Macaca mulatta: one gene and its partners. The protein of the gene in region 1 purifies or fractionates together with the protein of each later gene. This does not show direct contact. Links are inferred from orthologs where the notes say so. Each region holds a gene or a part of one and is shown on either strand. Other genes may lie near its edges. The genes, in order: NUMA1, WDR76 and EPB41L3.

The links.
Region 2: the proteins of NUMA1 (region 1) and WDR76 purify together in Homo sapiens (affinity purification with mass spectrometry; 3 studies listed by BioGRID and IntAct, with this or other methods). This does not show direct contact. The link is inferred for Macaca mulatta from reciprocal best matches to the Homo sapiens genes NUMA1 and WDR76.
Region 3: the proteins of NUMA1 (region 1) and EPB41L3 purify together in Homo sapiens (affinity purification with mass spectrometry; 3 studies listed by BioGRID and IntAct, with this or other methods). This does not show direct contact. The link is inferred for Macaca mulatta from reciprocal best matches to the Homo sapiens genes NUMA1 and EPB41L3.

The regions. Positions count from the first base shown.
Region 1 is NC_133419.1:72,311,684-72,315,921, forward strand, and holds part of NUMA1 (nuclear mitotic apparatus protein 1), read right to left. Parts: intron 4,001-4,238; coding exon 3,913-4,000; intron 2,349-3,912; coding exon 2,225-2,348; intron 1,713-2,224; coding exon 1,555-1,712; intron 1,256-1,554; coding exon 1,138-1,255; intron 1,039-1,137; coding exon 921-1,038; intron 566-920; coding exon 425-565; intron 1-424. UniProt on the Homo sapiens protein: Microtubule (MT)-binding protein that plays a role in the formation and maintenance of the spindle poles and the alignement and the segregation of chromosomes during mitotic cell division.
Region 2 is NC_133412.1:21,209,567-21,213,904, reverse strand, and holds the start of WDR76 (WD repeat-containing protein 76), read right to left. Parts: upstream 3,012-4,338; 5' UTR 2,805-3,011; coding exon 2,745-2,804; exon of another isoform or gene 2,720-2,744; intron 1,851-2,719; coding exon 1,452-1,850; intron 1-1,451. UniProt on the Homo sapiens protein: Specifically binds 5-hydroxymethylcytosine (5hmC), suggesting that it acts as a specific reader of 5hmC.
Region 3 is NC_133423.1:76,748,987-76,753,324, forward strand, and holds the start of EPB41L3 (band 4.1-like protein 3), read right to left. Parts: upstream 3,169-4,338; 5' UTR 2,882-3,168; intron 1-2,881. UniProt on the Homo sapiens protein: Tumor suppressor that inhibits cell proliferation and promotes apoptosis. Modulates the activity of protein arginine N-methyltransferases, including PRMT3 and PRMT5.

The DNA of each region.
Region 1 (4,238 bases):
ACAACTGGTTCACTGAGAGCTTACTTTACACTACGTAATGTGTGAAGTGCTTTACATACATTTTCTCATAATAGGTGGTAAGGCTGCTACTCGTTATTACTCCCATTTTAGGAAAAGAATGCTTAGAAAAACAGACTGATTAACTTGTCCAAGATCCACATCTTATAAACACCAGAGATAGGATTGAAAGGTATACTATAAAGTGAGGGCACTGACTGGGGGAAAAAATAAAAATAAATTAAAAAAAAAGAAAGGTGTACTAGACTGAAGCCCACAACCTTTCAACCTTTCAATTACAGCACACTATCAAACCTTGAAGAGAAAGCAGCTTAATACCCAAAGGCCGAGAAGAGCACAGTGGTAAACTGGATTCAGCTTTGCATATGTGGTCAAGACTGTGGCTGTGACCCCAGCAGAGGGTTACCTTATCCTGCAGGGCTGTGCTGAGCTCCTTCTCCAGCTGGGCCTGCTTCTCCAGCCACTCCTGAGTGGCCCTGCTGTGCTCCTCTGTCAGCTCATTGAGGGCATCCTGTAGCTGCTGCAGGTGACTGGCAAACTCCCGCAGCTGAGATGGGCAAGTGAGAATCCCCATCACCCAGGGTCAATGCTGACCCTACCACTGCTGTCTGCTCCCTGAACCCCAGGGGCTGGATGCCTCCAATTATCCTGCCAACCCTCCACAAACCAATCACAGCCATCACACCTCTAATTCAGGACCATAAATCAAACTTTAGGGTCACAACCCAGTACCCGGGAAGCAGCCAATTAGGGGACAAGGAAAGGGGCAAAATATGCAGGTCTCTGGAGAGACTGCAGCGTAAGACAGGTGCTGGGACATTCTTCTCAACCCTCTCTTGGGGAGCCTTCCAGATTGCCTCAGCCCTGAGGGGCCTCCATGCACACACCACCTTAACACCCACCTTAAAGGAAAGGTCTCCATTCTCCTCCAAAAGCTGGCTGATCTTGCGATCCATCTGGCTCTTCTCTGTCTTCAGGTCCTGGCACTGCTTCAGGGTTTCATGCAGCCGCATGGTAAGGCTGCGAGGGAGGGAAGCAGCGAGAAGAGAGTATGGATGGGCCCCTGGCTGGGTGCACGGAGGGGCGGGAGCCTGGGAAGGCATGCAGGGAGAGTTGTACCTCTCATTCTTGTCACGTAGCTCCTCAAGCTCCCTGGGCTCCAGTGGGCTGGCTGCCTGCTTCTCATTCAGCAGGGCTAGGCGGTCAATGCGCTGCTGCATCATGGCTATCTGTGCATCTGCCCAGAGTGGAGGGAGGAGGAGAGGAGAATCAGCACAGAACTATGTGCAGGAGGGGAAGGGAGGAGGTGGCATAGGGAGGAGGAGGCATACAGAGGAGGAGGAATATGGTATCCAATCTAAGGGAAAGAGAAGATGGGGACAAAGACAGAACCCAACTTCCAGGAGGTCAGCCTGACCACAGGCCCAGGGCTGAGCTCTAAGCTCCAGGGTCCAGCAGAGGGGACAACATGCGAGCCCAAAGGGACATCCTTCTGGCAAGTCTATTCACACATCTGCCAGCGTGCCAGCCACCTACCCTTCTCGGTGAGGAGCTTGCGGTTCTCAGCCAGCTCCAGCTCCAGCTCATCCCTATTACTTCTCTCATCGGCAAGCTGCTTCTTCAGCCGTCTCATCTGGAACTGTGGGGTCTGCAGGATATCGCCCATGGGAGAAGCTGGAGAACCTGAGAGAAAGCTGAGGAGGGAAAAGGCCCAGTTGCATTGGTAAGAGCCTAAGATCTGAAGCAATCAGCAACAGGCAGCAGGAAGGGAGTGGGGTCTGTGAAGTGTCCACTAGCAGCTGGGAGGCCTGTGCACCTGGGTTCTATTTGCAGTGCTACCTCAAGCCTCATGACATGATCTTGAGAAAATTTTTCTTCTCACTGCCTTAATTTCTTTGTCAGAAGAAAAAAAGTGATACATTATCCTTGGCTCTGCAGAGATGTACTAAGAGAAGGGACTTCATTGTAGTCTTTGAGGAAGAAGGGTATTCCATAAACAGGGAACAGCTTTTGAGGGAGACCTTCTGCGCATGACAAATCCCAACCAATTCCCCCCATTAATACTGGGGAGGTGAGGAGATCCCAGATCTACAGGATTCTCCAAGCACTCCTAGAGGCTGGTCAACAGCTTAACTCTAGAAGGTAGGAATGTGAGGAATAGATGGATGCTGAGGCCCTATCCCAGGAGGAAAGGCCCAGAACATACTTGTTCCCACTGGAAGAGGAGGCAACCTTCTGTAGCTCTAGGAAGCGAATCTCCCTCTTGGCCTGGTGGCTAGGTGGGGAGAGCTCTTCAGGGAATGTGCTAGAACAGGTAGAAGGGACAGGAGCTGGGGGTAAGAAATAGACAAAATAAATCAACAAAGATTAGTAAGAAGGTGAAAAGATTTGCATCTTTATGCAATCTGAGAACTTGGCCTTAGTGGGAGTGAATCTGTGGATACTTATATGTAAACTACCAAGGAAGGCACTGGGCAGAACCTGGTGTCTGGGTTATCCACAGTTCCGTGTCTCTAACCAAAATAAAGTGCAGGGCTTCCATTTCTACAGAGCATCACTACTCAGAGCACAGTGGAGTGAGGGTGTTCTCTGGCTCAGAAACTGCACCAAGTGCTCAGCTTTTTCCTCAAGTCCATACTGCAGAGACGGCTTGGGGAGCCCTGAGCAGGATCTCCTCGCAGCCCCCAACAACCTTTCCTATCAGAGCCACTGACTGCCATTTGGAATTCTTCCCCCCAAAGTCTTGTACCTCCAAAATGCCCTCCTCAAAACCCTTCTCTTTCCTTGGTTTCTGTGACCACTTTTGTAGGACTTTCCTACCTCTAATTACCCATTCTTAGTCTCCTCATCTGCTCCTCCCTCCTCTACCCACCCTCTAAGCTCCCAGAGATCTGATGGGGCCTCCTGGCTCTGCCCATAGTGCCCACGGATTCAGTGGCCATCCAATGCTGACTTGCAAACCTATCTTCTGGTCCAGAGCCAGCTCCTGAATTCTGGACTCACATTTCCAACATCTCCACCTGAAGGTCTCATGAGGAACCTGAATACAAGGAACATCAAACTCAATGGCTAGAACTCGCCTAGACCTCCTTCTTACATTCCTATCATCCACCAGCTGACCTCTTCCTCAGAAGACCAGCAGAACGATCACTCTTTCTACTGTAGCACCAGCCGAGACCATTGATATATTCCATACTTAGATTCCTTATCATATTTCCTGGTTTATGTATCTGCCTTTCCACCTAGAACATGTGCTACATGATGGGAAAAACATTTTTTAAAAGACTGTGGGCTGGGCGCAGTGGCTCATGCCTATAATCCTAACACTTTGGGAGGCTGAGGCAGGTAGATCACCTGATGTCAGGAGTTTGAGACCAGCCTAATCAACATGGTTTAACGCCATCTCTACAAAAAATACAAAAATTAGCCAGGTGTGGTGGCATGCACCTGTAATTCCAGCTACTTAGGAGGCTGAAGCAGGAGAACTGCTTGAACTTGGGAAGCGGAGGTTGCAGTGAGCTGAGATCACACCACTGCACTCCAGCCTGGGTGACAGAGAGAGACTCCATCTCAAAAAAAAAAAAAAAGACTGCACATTATCAGCTTCTAAGCCTAGAGTAATGATTGTTTAAAAAATAAAAAACAAAAGTAGGTATGATCACTTGTAAATATCCTACATCACTGCTGCCAGGCAGCAAGGAGGAGCTCCATAGGAACTGAGATGATACATGACCCAGAAATCGACCTACTCCATTACACACACTTTTCCTGACCACCAACTCTGCCTTGTGTTACAGACAGAAACAAACCCCCACCGCACTTCTTGACAACTCAGGATCCTAGTATTCCCCATTTCAGAGATGAGGGGATTCTCAGGAGTATGTACCTACTCACCTTTCCGTAGGAAGTTCTCTAGGTCCTCATTAAGGTTTAGCCCATCCTCATGGTCCAGCACAAATTTAAGAATGACAGCCAACTCAGCCTGGGCCACAGAGAGAAAAAGAACATCACTGAGGTGTTAGGCCTCTGAAAGGATGGCTGCCAGGAGCTCCACCCTGGCAGTGCCAGTCCCTGGCTCCCTCGTGCCCTAGAAGCCTGCTGGATCCCATTCTCCCTCTCAGAGCTGAGGTCCTATGACCCAGCCAACAACATTCAATTAGAGATATGTTCACCCCACTTGCTCCCTTCCCTCCCACCTCCCCTCAAGATGTACCCAAATC
Region 2 (4,338 bases), on another chromosome or scaffold:
TGATTTGCTTAAAGGAACAAGGTTTCTTAGAAGTGACCACGCTAGGCCGGGTGCGGTGGCTCACGCCTGTAATTCCAGCACTTTGAGAGGCCGAGGTGGGCGGATCACAAGTCCAGGAGATCGAGACCATCCTGGCGAACAAAGCGGAACCCTCTACTAAAAATACAAAAAATTAGCTGGGGGTGGTGGCAGGCGCCTGTAATCCCAGCTACTCAGGAGACTGAGGCAGGAGAATGGCGTGAACCCGGCAGGAGGAGCTTGTAGTAAGCCGAGATCGCGCCACTGCACTCCAGCCTGGGCAACAGAGCAAGACTCCGTCTCAAAAAAAAAAAAAAAAGAAGTGGCCATGCTAGGCTATCAACCCCAAGTCCAATTCATCTAATACTTATCCTATGCTGTCCCACTATGAGTCCTGGTTCTTAACTCTGGGGTAAGAAAGCATAAACCAAACTTCTATTTCATAACAATAACCCTTCAATTATAGTATCTCCCTTTCCCTACTATCATTTTCTGTTCCCTGAGTTCCAGCAACATTGTGTCATGTGCTTTATATTTTATCTTATCCTGTTAAAAGTTGTCAGTTTGAATGGAGCACAGCCCTCCCGGTAGGCAGTAGAAGCCAAAAGAATTACAGACCAGGCTGGGCGCAGTGGCTCACCACTGTAATCCCAGCACCTTGGGAGGCTGAGGCGGGTGGATCAGGAGGTCAGGAGTTAGAGACCAGCCTGACCAACATGGTGAAAACCCGTCTCTACTAAAAACACAAAACTAGCCAGGCATGGTGGGGCACCTGTAATCCCAGCTACTCAGGAGGCTGAGGGAGGAGAATCTATTGAATCCAGGAGGCCAAGGTTGCAGAGAGCCAATATAGTGTCACTGCACTCCGGCATGAGCAACAGAGCGACACTCGGTCTCCAAAAAAAAAAATTACACACCAAATTCCTTAAGTTGATTGGAATTATATAGAACTAATTAATGCATTTCTCATGTATCTTATCTACTCTGTCATTTGTCTCCTTTTGCATTTAAAGGAAATATTATTCAACACATCCATATAATCAGTTTCCCTACCCTGATATCAAGGGTCAGTCAATACCATATATCCCACAAACTGATGACTTCTGATATACTGTACATAAATATGTAAAGGTGAGCAAGGCACCATAAAGTATGAGTAAACCCAAAAATATATGAAGTTTAAAGAAAGAAAAAGGGAAGCAGAGTAAAGATTAAGTCAATCCTTTCATTGACACATCAACAGCAAAAGCAAAAATAACCCAAGGAAGTTATTTGTTAAACCTTAAAAATAATAATGTATTATTACATTTATTCTTACATTATTAGATAAAATAATTTGTTTGTACCAGAGAGAGCCTTGAAAAACTTCAATTTATCAGAACTTCACATTTAAAAAAAGAGATACTAGAACAAGCTACTAATTAAGTCCTTACCACGCCTGGTGTGATATCTTCATCACTGTCTCCATCCTGACTACTTTCCACATCAACACTGAGATTCATCGCATCTGCCGTTCTCTTGGATTGTAGCTTGTTACTTTCAGTATGAACAGCTGAGGCTGAATTTTGCAGCACGGATTCAGACTTAGATGTGGTTTTCTTCTTTGGAGGTATAATCCTTCTGCAAGTTTTCTTTATTTTAGTCTTCTTACACGCAACTTCATTGTTAGAATTCTTTTCTAATAGGGATTTGGGGCACATAAGCTGGTCTAGCTGGTAATTACTGAGTGAAAAGGGGGCTAGATAGACCTTAGCTGTTTTTATTAAAACTGTAGTCTGTACTGGTCTCAGAGACACATAAGCGATGTTTTGATTTTCTTTATATTCATTTACCTATTCAGATCAATAAAAGAAAAGAGAGTATTAGAATTCCAAGTCCTGTGCCTTTTCTTACAGGATCCCCAGCAGATCTAATAATTCCCATTTCACAATGACAATATAAATCCAAATTGATGCCAGGTGCGGTGGCTTACCCCTGTAATCCCAGCACTTTGGGAGGCTGAGGCAGGGCCTGAGGTCAGGAGTTCAAGATTAGCCTGGCCAACATGATGAAACCCGCCGCACCCCCCCACCCCCACTCCACCCCCCGCCCCCCGCCGTCTCTACTAAAAATACAAAAATTGGGTGTGGTGGTACCTGCCTGTAATTCTAGCTACTCAGGAGGCTGAGGCAGGAGAATCGCTTAAACCCGGGAGGCGGAGGTTGCAGTGAGCCAAGATCATGCCACTGCACTCCAGCCTGGGCAACAGAGCGAGACTCAAGCTCAAAAAAATAAATAAATCCAAATTGACACCCTGTAAGAAAACTTTTTTTCCCCTCCAAAATCTAGATATGTAATTCATTAACCTTAACCTCAACAGAATTCACTTACTAGGCACATGTGCCCATCAGAGTTTCCCAGACCAATAATAATGACTAGCATTTGGACTGAAGCAAATACCCCACTGTCAGCTGCGGATTGTCTGGAATTATTTAAAGAGTGTGAAGCTGATCATAACTGTGGCAAAAGCAAACGCAGAAGGTTGAAGAAAGGGAATCCCAGATGTGACTCTCCCACTATTTCTAGGGTTATTGATGAGAACCTTTCGTCAAAGCCGAAGGCCTCAGGGCAGGGATCGCCGCCAACCCCCGGTACCAGGCGCCCTCGACCTTCCGGGCCTGTGTCCCGCATAACCCTCACAAAAACCGAAGCAGGCGCACACCTGGAAGCACCGATCCGTTTCTCACCTTCATCTGGGGTCGCTGTCTGGAGTCCGCCTTCTCAGCCGCCGCGCCCGACCTGGACATCTTTCGGCTTCTCGGTGGCCGGCTCCTTCCCGCCAAGATTGCGGCGGGAGGCCGAGAGGGGCGGGGCCGGGACGGGGCGGAGCCCACTCAGATCCTCAGCGGCCGCAGCGCCAGAGCGGGAAGTCCGGGTTACCCGCGCTTCTTAAAGAAGGCCGCTTTGGCCGGGCGCGGTGGCTCACGCCTGTAATCCCAGCACTTTGGGAGGCTGAAGCGGGCGGATTACCTGAGGTCAGAAGTTTAAGACCAGCCTGGCCAACATGATGAAACCCCGTCTTTACTAAAAGTAAAAAATCAGCCGGGCGCGGTAGCACATGCCTGTAATCCCAGTTACTCAGGAGGCTGAGGCAGAATTGCTTGAACCCAGGAGGCAGAGGTTGCAGTGAGCCGAGATCGTGCCATTGCACTCCAGCCTGGGCAACAAGAGTGAGACTCCGTCTCAAAAAAAAAAAAAAAAAAAAAAAAATCGCTTATGTGTCTTTGAGACCAGTACAGACTACAGTTTTAATAAAAACAGCTAAGGCCTATCTTGCCCCCTTTTCACTCAGTAATTACCAGCTAGACCAGCTTATGTGCCCCAGATCCCTATTAGAAAAGAATTCTAACAATGAAGTTGCATGTAAGAAGACTAAAATAAAGAAAACTTGCAGAAGGACTCAAATTCTTTAGGGAAGTCCTGGGGCTGAACTGACATTTTTACCTCAGACTGCTGATTTTGATTCAGGTGGTACTGGGATCTCGCTCTGAAAAACATTGGCAGGCCGGGAGCGGTGACTAACACCTGTAATCCCAACACTTTGAGAGGCCGAGAGGAGTGGATCACTTGGGCCCAGGAGTTCCAAACCAGCCTGGGCAACATAGTGAGACCCCATCTCTACAAAAAATACAAAAATTAGCCTGGCGTGGTGTTATACGTCTGTAGTCCCCGCTACTCGGAAGGCAGGGGTGGGAAAATGGCTTGAACCTAGAAGGACGAGGCCAGTGAGCCGTGGTCGTGCAGCACTCCAGCCTGAGCGACAGGGCAAGACCCTGTCTCTTTTATAAATAAAAATAAAATAAGATTCTGGCTATTCTTCTCTTTAAGTTTCCTTCTACCCAAAACTGTTTCCTTAGTTTCTTAATTGGGTCCCACACTGTTCTTGCCTGAGACTTGTCCAGTTTCATTTCTTCTCCCACTCAAGGCCCAGTTGTAGAACACAGGTGAAGTAATTTGGGTTAATCACATTAACAGCAACTTCAAGGCCCTCCATGACTCAAAAATTACTGATAAAACCAAACTTTTCATGGTGTCCTGTATAATGTATACTGTTTCTGGACTTCAGAACTTTGTTCCTGCTGTCCCTTGTCTCCTCCGCAGTTATAAAGTCCTTTCTAATGTGAAATGTGCCCTGACTTTCCAATTAGCATATATACATATATATATATATATATATATTTTTTTTTTTAACACAACCCAGCTTGTAAATTGGCGCTGCTTCTGTTATTATCCTGTAAGTCCTTAAAGAGTTCTTAAATAGGCCGGCCGCCGTGGCTTACA
Region 3 (4,338 bases), on another chromosome or scaffold:
ACTCTACCACTCTATAACTTCTAAACTTCCAATATCTTAAGTGCCTTCTTATTTGAAGTGATTTCACCAATCCCAAAGAGTTTAAAAACATAACTCATGAGGACCAGTGTGCATGGTTTAGTTATATTTTTAAACTCTTTGGGATATATAATTAGTTTAATATTCTGATTTTAATAATGATTGACCTAAAAATTATTAAATGTCTTTTCAGGGCAATGTCTTTAATTATAGGCCCTGCTCTACACAAATGTTTGTTGAACACCTACTAAGTGCCAGACTCTGGGAATAAAAGAATGAGAAAGAACCCTGCCCTCAATAACTTACATTCCACTAAGAGCTGTATTTCCATTATTGGGATTGAGAGGTCATAGCCTAGTTGCAAACTTTCGGTTTTATACCTCTGCTCCTCAGTACTGAGAATGTTTTCCTACGGTTACCACACATTCTAAGAAGACTATTATCTAATGTTACAAGGGAGGCTCTTTGACCCCTTGGTGTCACAAGTCTGAACTGTAACTGATCCAACTGGGAACTGCCTAGGCAAGTAAGGGAAAGTGAAGACGGAGACTCCCAAGGTCATTTCAGAACCGACCTGAACTTCACTCTTTCCTCGTTCTAGATTATGTGTAATGATACGGGCACACTGGAGCCCACCCCACCCCCACTCCCCAAAGCAGCACAATTACAGCCTGGGAGGGGCAAGTCTTGCGGTGTCCCTCAGTAACTGCCATTATTTGAATGCGATATAGGAGCTCCCACATAGACCCTGCTCTACCGGGTTAGAATCTGTTTCTAATCACGTGGAATTTAGATTTAAACCATAGTTAGATTTGGGATTCACCACCGTTTCTACTTTCATTCATTTAGTGGCTTCCAGCCCTCTCCCGGCCCAGTCTTAGCACTTCAGAGGGAATTACACGGGAGTTACGGACTGGCAGGGGCGGGGGGTCCACCAGCTCCCTGTGAGAGAGCGCCAAGGGCCAGGGCAGCACCTCCCGGCTGGGTTGGGTCCGCCTCGCCTCGGGGATCCTTGGCGCTCAGCGCCGCCCTCCCGCGACTGCGCTACCCGCCGGAGCCCGGCGTCTTCCCTTTCCTTGTCTTGTGGACGCCGCCCTTCGCTCCCGGGAGGATTTCGCCTCCAGCACCTCAGGCTTTTCTGGCGCAAAGGTCGCCAGCCGGAGCGAGCCCAGGCGGCGGCTTCACTTCTGCAGAAGGAAAGCGAAAGCCGCGGCGGGCGGGCCGAGGGGGCGGCCGAACGCGCCGCGTGGCCGCTGTTCCCGAATCCGCAGCGGCGGCGCCAGGGCGGTCACCGAGCCCTGCGGACCCCGGCTCAACTTCCAGCGCCACTCGGGTGCCCCAAGCCCGCCGCAGCTCCCCGCGCGCTCTCCAGCCCCCCCACGCAGCCCCCGACGCGCCCGGGGCGCCCTCCCGCAGCACTGGCCAGGCCACCGCACCTCCCGCGCGGCGCTCCCCCGGCCAGCCAGGAGCTCCCCGGCTCCGAGCAGGACGCGTCAAAGGGAGTTCGGAGGTTCAGCAGCCCCCAGCGTCGGCTTCTCGGGTGACATGACGGCCTCTCTGGAGCGCGGGCCCGCCTCCGCCAAGCCTCCACCGCCGGTCCTTACAGCCCAGCCACCGGAAGATGCAGCGCCGGGCGAGGGGCGCTCCCAGGATTTTGAGAAACAGCCTCATTCGCCTCGGGAGCACCTCGATCCCCCACCCGCACCCTTTGGCCAGATGATTTTAATCCTGGGATGCCGCGTTGGTGGGGGGGGACTGGGAGCTGGAGCGGGAGGAGAGAAACCGGCAGCGCGGAGTTGCAGCTGCGCGCCGCTGGCGGCGAGGGGTGGCGGTCCCTGCGGCTCTGCCGGGCTGGGGGAACGGGCTCCTGCGCCTCTGCCTCCCGGAGGATCGCATTCGCTCATCCTTACAAACCGCACACACACACACTGCCGCTAGCGCCCCCACGCCACAAGCAGGAATGCGGAGGTCAAAGCCACTGTCCACTTGAAAGCAGGAAAGCAGGGGCAGAAACACTGAGATGGGGGCGGAGGCTCTGGCCTCATCGGCGAGGTTCGCACCTTCCCAGGCTTCCTAGTTTCCCCAGAGCTAACAAGATCTGGCTTCTGACACTCCGCTCTCTGGGCTAGCGGTTCGAGCTGCAGGGGCGGGCGGGGACGGATTCGGAAGGAGCACTAGAGAGAGAGCCCGCGCTCACTCCTGCCCTCCTCGCAAAGAACTGGCCAGCCCCACTCGCGTCCAGCCCACAACTAGGCGGCGGGGGCCGGGGACCCAGACCCCAGGTCGCTCCAACTCCTGCGAGGGCGGGGAGGGGAGTGACAGCAGCAACCACTGCGCGCGCTGGCAAAAAGCACGGAGTCTCCGAATAGGCTAAACGGCGGGCGCGGAGGGGTGGAGGCAAGACGGGGCGGAGGAGGAGTTGCCCGAGCGGAGAGGAATGACGTCCTCCAGGGCCTTGGGCTCCGAGGGACCGAAGACTGGTGCGCTCGCCGGGCCCCGCGCACTAGCTCTGGGGTTCGCAGAGGCGCCGCGCTCGGCTCCCACGGCGGCTCCAGCACAGAGCGCAGGCGGTAGATCCCGGCCAGCTTAAACCGGGCGCAAGCCCTCTGTCCGCCTCAAAGCACCTCTCTGCTCGTCCCTAGTCTCCAGGTGCCGGTCCGAGAGTCCCTGCCGCTTCCGGGCGGACCCGGCCCGGCAGCCCCCGGTCGGGCCAGCCTCGCCCCTTCCTTGCTTTCTCCCCCGTCGACCTCGAGCCAAGGGCAGGCGGCCCGCACCCGCGCCCCTACCCACGGGGCTAGGCGGCGCTCCCGGCCTACGCCCGACTGCCAAGAAGGATGGGGCACTGGAAGGGAAAGGCGCTCACCTGGGTCACCGAAGCCTTCCTTTGGGGCCCCTCCCGGAGCTTGTTGGCAGCCCGCGGGCACAACCTTCCTTGGAGGAAAAAAGTAGCGCAAGGGCAGAGTGAGGTAGGGCTGCTCACAGGTCCCTCCGCAGGGGCTCTTTCTTGCGAATTCTCCGAGGTCCAATCTCGGGCTCGGCGGCGGGAAAGAGCTCCTGGAGGCTGGAAGGAGCCGCCAGACCCGGGCTCCTCCCGCAGCTGCGGTGGCGGCACCTCCAAGTTGCCACCTGCAGCGCGCTTCGGGCGCCTGTGACAGCCCGCGCCGCTCAGCCCTCGCCGGCCCGCCCTCCCGGTCCTCTCGTTGGCTGCGCCCGGCGCCCGGGCGGTCCCGGCGCTCTGCCCCGCCCTGAGCCCGCCCTCGAGCCGCGCGCTCGCAAAGTGTGGGTCTCCTTACAGGCCTCCCTGGGCTTTATAGCCAGCGGTCTCTGCAAGCAGGGAAAGAATTACACACACACACACACACACACACACAATTTTGTGTAGCTAGGGACTGGAGGGAAAGGAGAGGCTATGATAAATGTCCTTTCGTGTGCCTTAAGGGGACCTGGTAACTTGGTTTCTTTTGCTGGTATTAAATTTTTGCAATCTCTGAAAAGAGTTAACTTCACAGCGGCGGTCTGGGGATGTAGGCCAGAAAGTGGCTTGGGGGCTGTTTCATTTAAGCATCATCCAACTTCACATGAAGCGCCAAAATATGAAGAGCAGTGTAGACCCAGCTTGCACCCTTTTCTCACCCAGCCTGCACCCCTGCAGCGGCGGATCCCGCAGTTCCAGCGCCTGCAAAGCCATCCCCACTGGTGCCCACGGGGTTTCCAGGCCTGAAGGCTCAGTATGTCACATGCGTGTTTGCTTGATTCTGTGGCCTGTGAGTCCAGGCCATGAGAATATATGCCCGTGCACACTAAAAACGAGACCTGTGCTTTCTACAACTCTTGGACCTTCTAAGTAAACAAAGGGAACATTATCTTTCTTTTCCTTCCACCTCTACCCCAAAGACCTGGACAAGAGTTCACTGCACAGTCTATCCCTGGGCACTCAGGCCAGTCTTCACTCACTCTGCCTCCTAGTAGCTCCTGGAGGCGTGCTTTCTGGAAAACGGATTTCGTAAAGCGTTCTGGAGGAGGAAAAGCTATAAAATATGACAATCACAAGTCTGGAAAGCCATCCAATCAACCAGAAACGTCTGACTCTTGGGTGTATCTATGTGAAAGAGGTACATTGCCAAGTGCCTATTAGTTTAATAACATTTTGAAATTAACTGCCCAAATAGCACATTTTATAGCCCATTAGGGAAATGTCTAGGTTTTGAGAGTGCAGGTGTTGCACTGTTAAATGAGACTGGAGTGTGCACATGCAGCTCACATCTAGCTGTGTTTTGTGGAATCCTCAGCAGGCTGAGGCAGAGGAAAGAGGCTTTCTAT